Rattus norvegicus: one gene and its partner. The protein of the gene in region 1 interacts with the protein of each later gene in a biochemical or structural test. Links are inferred from orthologs where the notes say so. Each region holds a gene or a part of one and is shown on either strand. Other genes may lie near its edges.

Evidence for each region. The genes of interacting proteins can lie anywhere in the genome.
Region 2: the proteins of Kit (region 1) and Lyn form a complex in vitro, tested with the Homo sapiens proteins (2 studies listed by BioGRID and IntAct, with this or other methods). The link is inferred for Rattus norvegicus from reciprocal best matches to the Homo sapiens genes KIT and LYN.

The regions. Positions count from the first base shown.
Region 1 is NC_086032.1:32,943,288-32,949,953, reverse strand, and holds part of Kit (mast/stem cell growth factor receptor Kit precursor), read left to right. Parts: intron 1-2,477; coding exon 2,478-2,747; intron 2,748-4,717; coding exon 4,718-4,999; intron 5,000-6,222; coding exon 6,223-6,359; intron 6,360-6,666. UniProt on the Homo sapiens protein: Tyrosine-protein kinase that acts as a cell-surface receptor for the cytokine KITLG/SCF and plays an essential role in the regulation of cell survival and proliferation, hematopoiesis, stem cell maintenance, gametogenesis, mast cell development, migration and function, and in melanogenesis.
Region 2 is NC_086023.1:21,546,601-21,553,266, forward strand, and holds the end of Lyn (tyrosine-protein kinase Lyn), read left to right. Parts: intron 1-366; coding exon 367-520; intron 521-2,470; coding exon 2,471-2,602; intron 2,603-4,633; coding exon 4,634-4,836; 3' UTR 4,837-6,497; downstream 6,498-6,666. UniProt on the Homo sapiens protein: Non-receptor tyrosine-protein kinase that transmits signals from cell surface receptors and plays an important role in the regulation of innate and adaptive immune responses, hematopoiesis, responses to growth factors and cytokines, integrin signaling, but also responses to DNA damage and genotoxic agents.

The DNA.
Region 1 (6,666 bases):
GAGACCTGAGGTTCTAGGGAAGAAGCTCCGAGCGGAGGATGTGTTGACATCACCAGTGCTAAGGCCTTTCATAGCTGTCTACTTACGCGCCCCGTCTGTCAGAGGACTGTCATTCTTGTTTGTTTGTTTTGTTTTGTTTTGTTTTGGTGAGCAGGAGCCCACACTCGGCAAGGACTTGTAAGTCCTTGCTGGGAGCAGCTGTGTTTGCCGTCTGACCCTCCCTCCCCATTAGATTCTGTCTCTAGGGTGCTGAGTTTTATCATATGTCATTTCCTTTGGTTCATTAATTAACATGTGCAGGGACAAGGAGTGAAATCTTACTACTTTGCATAGCCACACATGATTAAGGACGTGTATGCATTTAGTGATACAAAAGTCTTGGTGGAGACGAAAGACAGACAAATACACTGACAGTTGAAAGCTTGCCGAATTGAATATCAGGTATGCACATCGAAATGTGTATTTCAGAGCAGCCTCCTAGCTCAGCTGACGTACTGAGGAGTGTGGGTGGGAGCATGGGGTGGGGAGGGGGGAGCTGAGGAGATAAGGGGTCCGGGTACATGGGCCCACACAGCCCTGTGCATGGAGGTCAGAGGAGGGCCTCAGGTGTTTCCTTTACTGTTTATTGCCCTTCTCCCCTGAGACGTGATCTTTCACTGACCTGGAGGCTGCTGTCTGGGCTGGGTCAGCCAGCCAGAGCTTGAGCACCTGGGATCTGCTGTCTCTGCCCGCCTGGAGTTACAGTGGCATGCTTCCGTGCCTGACCTTTTATGTGGTACTACTGAGGAACCAAACTTAGGCTCTCAGGCCATTCACAAGACCTCCTCTCCCCGAGCATCCCTGTAATCCTGGAGTATCTTTCTGAGGGATAGTCCTTTAATGTGAACCTCTATTTTTCTAAACCTGAATCTCTGTCGTCATCATCATCATCGTCATCGTTGTCGTCATCATCATCTGGTGAGGCCATGATAACAACATTGAAGATGGTTTAGAAACAAGACAATAGACATTACCTTCATTTGTATCCTAATAAGACTTTTTATCTTATAGCGTGTGTGAAGATTGAGCTTATAAGTCATTGTTGAGAATAAAAACCCCGGATACATCCAGTGTCAGTTGTTTTTTAAATTTCACCAAATTACATGAGGTGTCAGCTAAAGGTTTGGGTCAAGTTTGCTGTCAGTGTCCTGAGAGTATTCTGTATTCATTGGAACAGTCAGTCCGTCCTTCCATATGTCCATCCTCCCTCTCTGATGTTTCAGCAAGGGTTTACACTATCGGAACATAAGGAACTGAAACAATAGCCACCCCCCCACCCCCCACCCTGGAGCTGAGGACCGAACCCAGGGCCTTGTGCTTGCTAGGCAAGCGCTCTACCACTGAGCTAAATCCCCAACCCTAGCACCTCTTATTTTATCCCCAGAGGCTTCCTAGGCCTCTGGAAACAGTCCTCGCAGCTTTATCTCCATAACCAGACTGGGCCATTGAGACGTGGAGCCCAGACTGGCTCTGTCCACCCTTCAGCATCTCCCTGGTTGCTGATGCTTACTGACCTTTGATGACTGTGGTCCCTGTCATTATTGTCTTGGACAGACTCTGTCATTTTTTCTTTTTACCGTAACATTTGGAGGTTTGTAGATGTTGTTACCGTGAGCACTGCCCTGTAAGGAGTATTGTATCAAAATAGGTGAATTCCAAAGCTTGAAGAAAATAAAAAAAGAGGTCCTTCTGTCATGCACATTCTTTTTAATGTACTTTTCAGTTATGTACACACATACTACATATGTCTATATAGTGTGCATACGCACTATGTATAGTGTGCATATGCGCATTATAGCTTATATAGTATATGCATATAGTATATAGTATATTATAGTATATATATGTACATACATACATGCATACGTGTGTGTGTGTGTGTGTGTCTGTGAGAGAAAGAGAGAGAGAGTCCCCTCCGTCCCATTCCTGTCAGCCTCTTGTCAGCTCCCTTCCTACCTTAACAGAGTCTTTTTGTTTTGTCTTTGTTGCCTTTTACTCTAATGGGTAGAGGTTGGGGCTCCGTTACTTGAGCAAGGGCGACTTAAACCCCGTGGCTCAGCGCTGGGGAATACATCAAGCCGCTCACTTTGGTTTCTGGTTTCCATTGTGTAAGGCGTTGCAGTGGTTTTTAAGGTGTATCTTCCTGTAGCCACACCACAAGGACCGACCGCCGTCACTGGGCATGGTTGACCCCAAGAAAGCTCTGGGTCTAGTTCGATAGCTTGCACACCAGGTGTGACCCGCAGGACTAATTGAAGGTTTCGGAGAATAACTATATAGATGAGTCTAAACTTTCGACAGAATTCCCTTTGCAGCCACAAATAGCAGGGCTATTTTTATTGTGGCGTACACAGACGAGGAGCGGCTTGATATTAGAAGAAAGGCTTTATTTTGCCAAGACGGCTCACGCTCAGCACAGTCCTTGTTTTTCTTGGCAGGGACTTCTCAGCCATCTGCGAGTCCAGGGGAGCCGTCTCCACCATCCATCCAGCCGGCCCAGTCAGAGTTAATAGTTGAAGCCGGCGACACCATCAGGCTGACGTGCACTGACCCCGCCTTTGTCAAATGGACTTTCGAGATCCTCGATGTAAGGATTGAGAATAAGCAGAGCGAATGGATTCGAGAAAAAGCCGAGGCCACTCACACGGGCAAATACACGTGCGTCAGCGGCAGCGGCCTCAGGAGCTCTATTTACGTGTTCGTTAGAGGTAAACGCTCCCGTTTTCTGTGTCGCTGTGCTCTGGAGTGTTCGCTACCCTGTCCTTACTTTTAAGTGGCCGCGTAGTTGACCAGAGCACAGGCAGAATTTTGCTAGCTGGTTCAAGGAGGCCTAATGTACTTGTTTTTCTTCCCCAACTTCCTCATGGCTTTGGGTGTGACCCCAGCTGGGGGTCTGCAAGGCCAGAACTGGATTCCAGTCTGGTTAACCCATTTGTCCTGGTGCTTTGGGGTCAACCCTGAGAAGAAATTAGGCCCTTTGGGAAAACTGTATTTAAATGCCTGGAGATACTAAATATTCCCACTTAGTAAAAAACACTTCAGGGAGCCGAAGGCCTCAAAAGGCCCGAACAGAGTAGCACTTCAAAAGACTTAGGGAGTAAATTCCAGAAAACAGCTCAGACAGCTAAGCATCCCTTGTCAGTCATAAGCTCTCTCGGAGTTGGTTCTTTTCAACAATTTACAGCCTCTCGGAAACAAAAGACAAAGAGACGTGACAGTTGGAGCCCTGTACCTCATTTTCTAGACGAATTCAGCAGTTTGTAGTTGCGTGTTTGCTCTCATGTCAAGAACCCACAGGATGCTATCCTTTGGGTGATGTGAAACAACGCTAATGACTGTCTAAGAGACAAACGAGAAGGCAGGAAAAAGGCAGTCCAGGCGGTAGCACCAGTTGTACCGGGACTGGGTCTGTCACTTACAGTGGGCAGTTCTGTGAGTCTCTGGTGGATGTCTGCCTGGGCCTGGGAGGTGTGCTGCGTAGGGCCTCCATTTCTCACTGTGGGCCTCAGATAAGATGAGCAGTCTCCCTCAGGGGATTGTTAGGGAAACACAATTATACAAATCTTAGCATGCTCAAACAGGGGTTAATAAAGCTGCCTCGGAAGATCGCCGTGAAATTGACTGTGCTTTTGCTTTATCAGTCGTCCTTCCTTAAGTGGGCAGCTGAGGAGACGTGCTCAGCGATAAGCCACAGCTTAGCTTGAGGGTTCGGCTCCGGGACTGTCGGGCCCACCCGAAAGCTGCTGGTGACATTGGAGAAGACATTTTGTAATTTCCAAATGGTAAGGAAGGCGCCATTCAGCTTCATGGCAAGCTGTGTAGATGCCTGCATGTCTGAGGAGATGGCTGAGGGAGCCACTCAGCTCGCACCCTTTCTTCATGTTCGGACCCTTAACTAATGGATGCTGCGGAGAGGAAAGGGAGAGGAGAGGAGGGAGGCTCCTCCACCCTGGTGACTGAGAAAGTATAGACAGAAAACCACCTGCAGCTTCTGATGTTTGTTTTAATTAAGTGACATATATTTCAGTGGTAACTGATTCTGTTGGTGTGTCTATAACATTTGGTTTCCAGGTAGAAAGGATAATTTGGAAACAGAATTTCAGAGGGCTGAGGCGGTAGCTTGTCAGTCAAGTGACATGAGGACCTGCGTTTGATCCTTAGTTACCCACATGAAAAGCTGGGGTGCTGGAGGCCGGTGAGGAAGCTCAACCCTTAAGAGCACTGGCTGCTTTTGCTGAGGACCCAGTTTGGTTCGCAGCACCCACACTGGGCAGCTCACTGGCACTCAGAATTTCAGTTCCGGGAGATCAGAAGCTCCACTCCGGCCTTAGGTCTGCATGCGCAGGGTCTACGTATGGATAAGCTAGCTCAGACTTGTACATGATGAACAAAAGAGCGAACTTTGAAATCCACTGTGTTATTCAAGCTTGTAATCTCTTAAGCCTGTAATCTCAAGCTTGTAATCTTTTAAACATGTTTTCAGAGAGTAGGTTGTGGCGGAACACGCCTTTAATCCCCGCTGAGACAGGTGGACCTCTGAGTTCGAGGCCGGCCTGGTCTACAAGCAAGTTTCCAGACTAGCCAGGGCTGCATTGTGAGACGCTGTGGAAACAAGCCAGCAAGCAAGGTGCCTTCAGTGTCCAGGTCCAGCACGTTGGCTTTTTGTCTTGCTTCACAGATCCTGCCGTACTTTTCCTGGTTGGCCTTCCCTTGTTTGGCAAAGAAGACAATGACGCACTGGTCCGCTGCCCCCTGACAGACCCACAGGTGTCCAATTACTCCCTCATTGAGTGTGATGGGAAATCTCTCCCCACGGACCTGAAGTTCGTCCCCAACCCCAAGGCTGGCATCACCATCAAAAACGTGAAGCGCGCCTACCACCGGCTGTGCATCCGGTGTGCTGCCCAGCGTGAGGGCAAATGGATGCGGTCTGACAAATTCACCCTCAAAGTGAGGGCAGGTACGTCCCCTCCCTCACATCTTGTGGGAGATGGAAACCCTATTCCCGGGGATGACGTCTCTCTTCCCAACTTAGCCTAGGGCATCAGGACACAGCTGATGGACACAGGACCAGGACCAGGTGATGGTAGACATTCGTGAGTTCCTCCAGAGTGACAGGTCCATGGCTCTTGCTAGCTAAGATGTCGTTAAACCTGCTGGTTTAGGGCATCCCCAAGTGACATCCTTGCCACAAGTGTCCCTACTCAATGGGAAGATTTAATTTGAGGACCTTAGTCTACAAGGACATTAATATGTATGAACACGTGACCTGATTTTTTTTTTCCCTATAGCTGACTGGCTCCCAAGCCGCTCACGCTCTGGGAAAGAAAGTGCCTACAACCCGGGGAACTTGTTACCATGACATCACCTTGAACCCTCCAGTAGCCAGGAGATAAACTAGGCTTTAGAGTTGAGATTCCCTAATTCAGCATCCCTTTGGGATTCAACTGATGAGGAGAATTTTTAATTTGCTTTTGAAAAATTATACTCATTAAAATGAAGGGAATTTTAATTATTTATAACCTGGGGTTTTTAGAAGTAAGCAAGGTGTGATTGTATAATATATGGGAAAAGGACCCATTTGGCTATAAAAGAATACTATTGGCTGTAGGCTAGGTCCTCAAGAAATCATCTAGGGTAAAGATTAAGTCTGCTTTATCATGCTACCCTCTTCCACCCGAGGGGAAATGCCAGAGGTATTTATGGTCTTGTACTGGGCACTCCTGTCTTTTTCACTCAGCAGGAATGACTTTACTTGTACAGTGAATGACTTCATAGTTCTATATTTAGATATGCAAATGATACAGGTTGGTTAGTATTATTATGCTTTGTATTTTATTTAATGATACCTAACACAAGCTGTGCACAGTCAAGAAAATGCAAGGTTGAGTCTGGAGAGGTGGCTCAGAAGTTAAGAGTGCTTGCTGCTCACTCTTCTAAGGGATCCACTCAGATCCCAGCTCCCGACATGGGCCAGTAACTCCAGCCCCAGGGTCTTCCACACCCCCCCACTTGACTTTCTCAGGCACCCTCGCACATGGCATATGCATCCAAAGATACACACTAATAGATAAAACAAAAGTCATTTTTAAAAAGAAAAAAAGCATGTTAAATATAAGACGAGTTTAGGTTCCCGCTGTAGCAGAAGGACTGACTTCGGGGCTGTATTCCTTTCCGTTCTAGCCATCAAAGCTATCCCAGTGGTGTCTGTGCCCGAAACAAGTCATCTCCTTAAGGAAGGGGACACATTTACGGTGATATGCACCATAAAAGACGTGTCTACATCCGTGGACTCCATGTGGATAAAGTTGAACCCTCAGGTGAGTTCTGTTTAATTCCTCTCCTGTGCTGCAGTGTCTGTGTTCTCTACACAGTTGGACCAGGGGTGAGTCTGCTGGTAAGCCTAGCTGTTAGCAACTGGCTGAGGTGTGTTCACATACTGGCTAGCTGTGTATATTACAGCATAGGTGTTTACTGTCAGTGATGAGTAACCGCCACATTGTTACTGTGTTTGAGAAAAGAGAGGGCATCTGTCTCAGGTTATTACTTAACACTCTTTTAAATTAAAAAAAAAGAAGAAGAAAATCGATGAACAACTGTATATTATCTAGATAACACGTACTTCAG
Region 2 (6,666 bases), on another chromosome or scaffold:
CTCAACTGCCTGCAACTCCAGCTCCAGGGGATCCAATGCCCCCTTCTGGCCTCCAAGAGTACCTGCATGCAATGTTTTCACTGAGACACAAAAGACACACACACACACACACACACACACACACACACACACACACACACACACACGGACCGACACGAACACACACACACAAAGAGATAAATAAAAATAAAATAAAAACTTTTTTTAAAAAAGTTACCATTGTTGGAGATGTTAGGGACAGACTTTAAAAAGAATTCTAAGGGTGACTTTAGCACTATCTTAAAATTTTGAAAAACTAGTTTTTTTCTTGATGGCCAACCATGACAGCCTCTCTAGAATATGAACATGACCCCCTTCTGTTTGCAGATTGCAGAAGGCATGGCGTACATCGAGCGGAAGAACTACATCCACCGCGATCTGCGAGCTGCCAACGTGCTGGTCTCTGAGTCTCTCATGTGCAAGATTGCAGACTTTGGCCTCGCGAGAGTAATCGAAGATAATGAATACACAGCGAGGGAAGGTACGTGTGCTGGGTTACAGAGGCCATCTTGCTGCAGGAGTGTGCTATTGCCCCCCATGATGATGCCCTCCCACTTTTCCACCCCCCAATTCTGTCCTGTGTTCTCTCGGTTCCCACCGACCTTGTTTCTACCTTCAAGACAAGGCATTGCTGTGTAATGAGGAAATCTCCTAGCTATGTATCTGACAGGTAGTTAATATACAAACAACTCAAAAAGCGACATAACAAGAAATATTTCATTATTTCTCTGCCTAATTTCATTTTTGTTTGCTTTTTAATAAAGCATCTACAAAAAAGTCATCATTTTGAAGGGGAAAAAAAGGGCTTATTTGGTACAATATTGAAGATGTGCCTCAATGGTAGCTTTCTGTGTAAGATCTGTCTTGGATAAGGCCACTCAATACTGTAACAAGATTCATGAACAGTAGTATCTGTCTTCTTCTTTGCTGGTTTTTGAGATAAGGGGGTGTTTTACTTTTTGGCAGTGGGGATTAATGGACGAGGGTCTCATCTTTGCAAGGCAAGAGCTCAACCACTGAGTTGTAGCACAGTCTTGCTGTGTAACCCAGGCTGGCCTCAAACTCTAAATCTTGCTGCCTCAGCCTCCCACGTGCTGGGACTACAAGTATGTGCACCACACATCCAGCCTTGTATTTCACTTAGTCAACACTAAATTTGTCAAAATTAAGATTCTTTATTTACCCTGTAAGGCAGATTTTTTCCCCTCTCAAATAATAAAGCACATGTGCTTCCCTGGACTGCAGAGATGTTCGTAACACTTAGTCTATGCTGCAGACCACTGATGATGGGCCTCGGAGGTTCTGCAACTCTAGAGATCCTCTGTAAGGGTCTGAGCCAGGATCCAAGCCAGGGAATCCAGCTTTTGAGTACATGAGAGAGAATTGATTACACTGGTTTGTTGACACCAACAAGCACTGAGTCTTTGAAAAATACCAGAAAGGACAAAGACCATAAAGAACATGTTAGGATGATACCAAATAGAAAGTGGTAACATGGAGATGCTCCGAGACTCTGTATCTCTGTCCTCCCATCATGCACCACTGCTCCAGGCTGTCTAGAAACAATCCAGGAGTCAGTGATTGTGAGCCCAGCACACAACAGGTGTACACAACTGTCTGTTCTGTTCTTATAGGGACTACTAGTCTTAGTAAGGCACTGCAAAAGAAAATGCCTGCAAAGACATAGTAAAGATAATGTTTTCAAGCAGTGGCTATGAACCCCTAGCAGTTCCACAATGCTGGAGCTACAGACTGCGCCAAGTCTTGCTTTCCTCGAAGGAAATTAAATATAATTCTGGTTGTGGATCTAGTTCAGTAGTCAAATGTGTACTTAGCACTCATTCCGGCACTAAAAATTAAGTAGGTACATTTAAATGAAATAATAAATATGGCCACTCAAACTTAGAATGGACTTACTAAAGAAAAGCCTGAACTGTGTTGTAGAGAAGGCTTGGTGTGACGTTTTGATACTGTATGTTTGGTTTCGTTTTCTGAGATGGGGTCCTATATTGATGTCCAGGAGTTTAAAGCTAAACTCCTTGATTCAAGAGATTCCCCTATCTCACCTGAGAATACAGGTGCATGCCAGCATACTAAACTCTAGATAAAATTTCAGCAACCCTTTTGAAAGGCCAACAGTGTAAGAAAATAGTACACCGCACCCTTTCCCGTTTAAAGTTGAGCTGATTACAGTGCCCCCTGGAGGTTCTAGAAGAAACTGCTTCTAAAGAAAGGAGGACCCTAAAGGGAAGGGCAAGGGAGGTGACTCTGTTCGAATGACATTTGACACCATGTCCATTTTGATTGTGCATGTATCTTTTCTATTCCAAGTAAATTACTTGAATTTCTTTTAAAAAAAAAGTCAAGGAAGAAAATTACCTCTAACCCATTAGCTTAAACCTGGAGTAAGAGCCCATGTCTTCCTCTTCAGGTGCCAAGTTCCCTATCAAGTGGACGGCTCCAGAGGCCATCAACTTCGGCTGCTTCACTATCAAGTCTGACGTGTGGTCCTTCGGAATTCTCCTGTACGAGATCGTCACCTATGGGAAGATTCCCTACCCAGGTATCACTTCCCCACACCCCCCTCCAGTGCGAGGGAAGAACCAAGCACCCCGAAGACAACAGTCTCGTCTACCTGTGCTCCTGACAGCTTGGGGTCGTTACCTTTTATGCAAATCTTGCTGAAAGATGCTTAGATGCTCCTTTGTCTCTACTCACTCTTCACCCTGTGCACTCGGCACTGCTCTGGGTGTTTCGGTGAGGCAGATTAGACACGAGTGTGCCCCTCTCTGCCAAAACGGGGCTCCAGATGGGGCAGAACATGTACAAGGAACGAGGGTCTTCAATGTCTTCTGCTAGTGGTGAGAACTGAGGTTAAATATTGGGCTGGTATGGTTAACTTGAAAGGTCAGTTGGGTCTAACATTGGTTTGTGTGCATGTTGTTGACTTCTCAGCCTACCTGTGCAGCTCTTTCTGCCGGTTATGGGATCTGAGGACCTGAAGGAATAGGGCAGACTACAGTCGGATGCTTCAGAAACCTTATTTAAGTTTCAGTGTAGTTTTATATACAAATATAACAACAACAACAAAAAGGCAACGATCCAAGGAAGGTTGTGTGAGGTCAGAAAACCATGCAAACAAGCATCAATAAGCACATACTATATATTAACAGAGTAGCCCTTTCCCAGAACTTTCTCAGGACAGACCAATCTAAACACTATCATCTGGCGCATACTATAGATTATAGTATATCTGGGAAAGCAAGGCAGAAAGCAGCATGCAGATTCAGTGTACACTGACCAGACTTGGTGCTATAGTTATGTTCTGCATCCAGCAAGCATAATCATGTCTTATAAATTGAGTGTAAATGTTTAACACAGTAGGCACGAAGCCATATCCAAGAACAAGCCAAGGAACAAAGTGCTCTTGAAGTAAAAGGCCCTTTTCCGTTTTCCCTGGAGCCTCTCTCACAGTTCCCCAAGGTATTTTCACTGTGGGTCATTCTTTGGCCACGTTCAGACAGTATGTGCATGTTAACATGAAGGAGTTATTTAGAAGCATGCTGGCGCATGCGTGTGTATGAGTGCCAATACACATGTATACATACACGTGCTTGTAGAGGCCAGAGAACAGCACTGAGTGTCATTGTTTAGTGCCGTCAATTGAGTTTGAGATAGTCCCTCAGCCTGGAACTTGCCAAGTAGGCTAGACTGACTGGCTAGTAAGCCCCAGAGATCTGCTAGTCTTACCTCCACCGCCTCCCAACCCCCACTCTCCCCCTGAGTTCGTATTACAAGTGTGTGCCAGCTTCCTTGGCTTTTTTTTTTTAAATATTTATTTATTTATTTTATGTACAGCATTCTGCCTGCATATGTGACTGCAGGCCAGAAGAGAGCACCAGATCTCATTACAGATGGTTGAGAGCCACCATGTGGTTGCTGGGAATTGAACTCATGACCTCTGGAAGAACAGTCAGTGCTCTTAACCCCTGAGCCATCCCTCCAGCCCCACTTCCTTGGCTTTTAATGTAGGCTCTGAGAATCTAACTCAGGCCACGGTGCCTATGAAGCATGCCTAGTTTTGCTTTTGCAAATCTATGCCTTCTTGACATGCATACCCGCTCTAGAACATACGAATTGAGATGCTCCAAGTTCCTTCTGTCCTAATTTGCTGAGAAAGAGGCACATAAAACACTGTGGTTTAAAACAGCGGGAGTTCCACACTATTATGGATGCTCAAAAAAAAAAAAAATCCAAGAGATCAAGAGTTGGTAAGGCAGATTTCATCTGAGGTCTCTCTCGCTGGATAGCAGATGGCTGTCTGATCCAGTTGGCATTCTGTGGTCTTCCATGTGTCTGCAATGTGATCACCTCTTCTTGGAACGATCCCAGTCACATTGGATCAGAACCCAGCTACAGGGTTCATTTTAAGTTAATCATCTCTTTATAGACCTGATCTCCAATCACAGCCCCACTCTGGCAGTTAAGACTTCAATCTGTGATTTGAGGAGAACGTACCCCACCCTTGCAGCGTTGTGCCATTGAGCCAGGCTTCTAAACTCAACATGATCGCTTTTGTTTGTTTGGGCCTTAGGGAGAACTAACGCAGATGTGATGACCGCACTGTCACAGGGGTACCGAATGCCACGAATGGAGAACTGTCCAGATGAGCTCTATGACATCATGAAAATGTGCTGGAAGGAATCAGCAGAGGAGAGGCCAACCTTTGACTACTTACAGAGTGTACTGGATGACTTCTACACTGCCACGGAAGGGCAGTATCAGCAGCAGCCATAGTGGGCATGGAGACCAGCCCACTGGAGCTCATAGGAAAAGCAGCCGTGGCGGAGAATACCAGGACCCTCTGTGTTCCTGGTTCCTGTGGACAGGATGCATTAACTCAGGAAGAACATCCTGGACAGAGGATGCTGTTTCATACATGGGTGGCCACTGCTCAGTGGGACCACGGTCAGAATACAAACACCCCCTCTCTCCAATAAGCACACTGGCTCTACGTGGGCCAAGTGACTCAGGTTCAGAGACTTGCAACAAATTCCCAGATGCAACAAGAACTAAACTCACTTAGCGAAAGTAAACCCCGTGCACAGCAGATGCTCCCTTACCTTCTCAGTGCTTTGGCTTACTTTCTTAAAAACTACTAATCCAGCCTGTTGAATTTTACAGGCGAAGGCCACGAGCTTTAAAACATCTTCTCTAAATTCGAATGGTTTTTTTTTTTTTTTTGGCTTGGGAAGTTTGATTCCTCCTCACCTCCCACCTCACCCCCCAGAAAATGAGACGATTAAACATTTTCCTTTGCGGTAAGATCACTGGACCTAAGGCAGCACTCACTCCCCCTGCAGGAGCGCTGTGCGTGGGTGGGCACGCAGAAGGACCTTTGCTGAACTGGAGCCCTTTGGACAGAAAAGCCTCAAGTTCTGCCCTGTAGAGGAATGTTTGTAATGGTCCAGGTATTTCAGTCACAGGTTTCTCTCAAGGCTTTCCTGATGGTGTCCTTTGGGAGAAACGTAAGCGTCTCTCCTAGTCTGTCAGGACTTTATGAGACCCTCCAAAAATACAAAGCATTTCTCTCATTGCCTCAAATGACTTGAACATTTTATAAATCATATAGTATAGTCGTACTCTAAGGAAGTTAAAATGCCATGTTGGGGGCTATTTTTGTGACTCAGTAATCTTTTCTAAATTGTGTGGGAGACTATTTACACGTGAAGGTAGGAAGCAGGCAATCATGGAGAAGCCTCTGGTGACCAGAGCAGTTTCGTTACCTGGGTTTTTCCCCTGTAAACTCCCATTAGAAACTGCTGTGTCTGTCCCTTTCACTGGTGTTACTGTGTACATACCTAATATTTCTATTTTTGATTTTATTTTAATACACCCAATAACATCTTGAGGTCTTTGTCTCGTGTATCAGATTCCAACTCCTGTCCGTGCATAAGTAAGAGCCGGTTGGTGGGGAAAGGGCAGGGAGTCATTCTGTGCAGTCACATTGCAGGAGCTTGTGGAGTCTGCGCCTCCAACGCTGGCGTGTTTCCGGTTGGACGCTGGGGTGTTTCCGGTTGGAGGGCTGAGGAGTTGATGCCTGGATGCCCAAGGAACAGGCTTTGCAGGCACCTTTACTGTTGTAATCTGTGTGTTTATTTGAAGCTCTGGGTGCCTAGGGGAAGGGATTGAACGTCTCGTGTTTGTCCAACTTTAATGTGTGTTTTCCCTGATTTTTTTAAAATAGTATCCTTTCAAAGTATTCTAAAGCCCTTCATTCCCAAGTGCCCTGTTTACAAACATGGCATGTGCGTCTTTGGTTACCTGATTTACAATAGCGGTTTTCTGAGGCCCTTCCCACCCCGCACTCTCCACACACTCATTTCGGACTCCCCTGCATTGTCTACTTCATGGGAAGGAAGAGTGAAGAATCCTTAAAGTTAAAGAAATCGCTAAAACATGGCTCAGGATGCATTTTCATTTTCTCTTACTTCTCCCGATCCAGCTTCTTTTTTCCATTTCCATTTCTCTCCTATCGAGTATTTGATCCTTTCTTCCTCATGCTTGCTTCATCAGGAGATAGCAGGTTTGCTGGGGGGGGGGGGGGGGGGGACGGCTCAGTGTGTA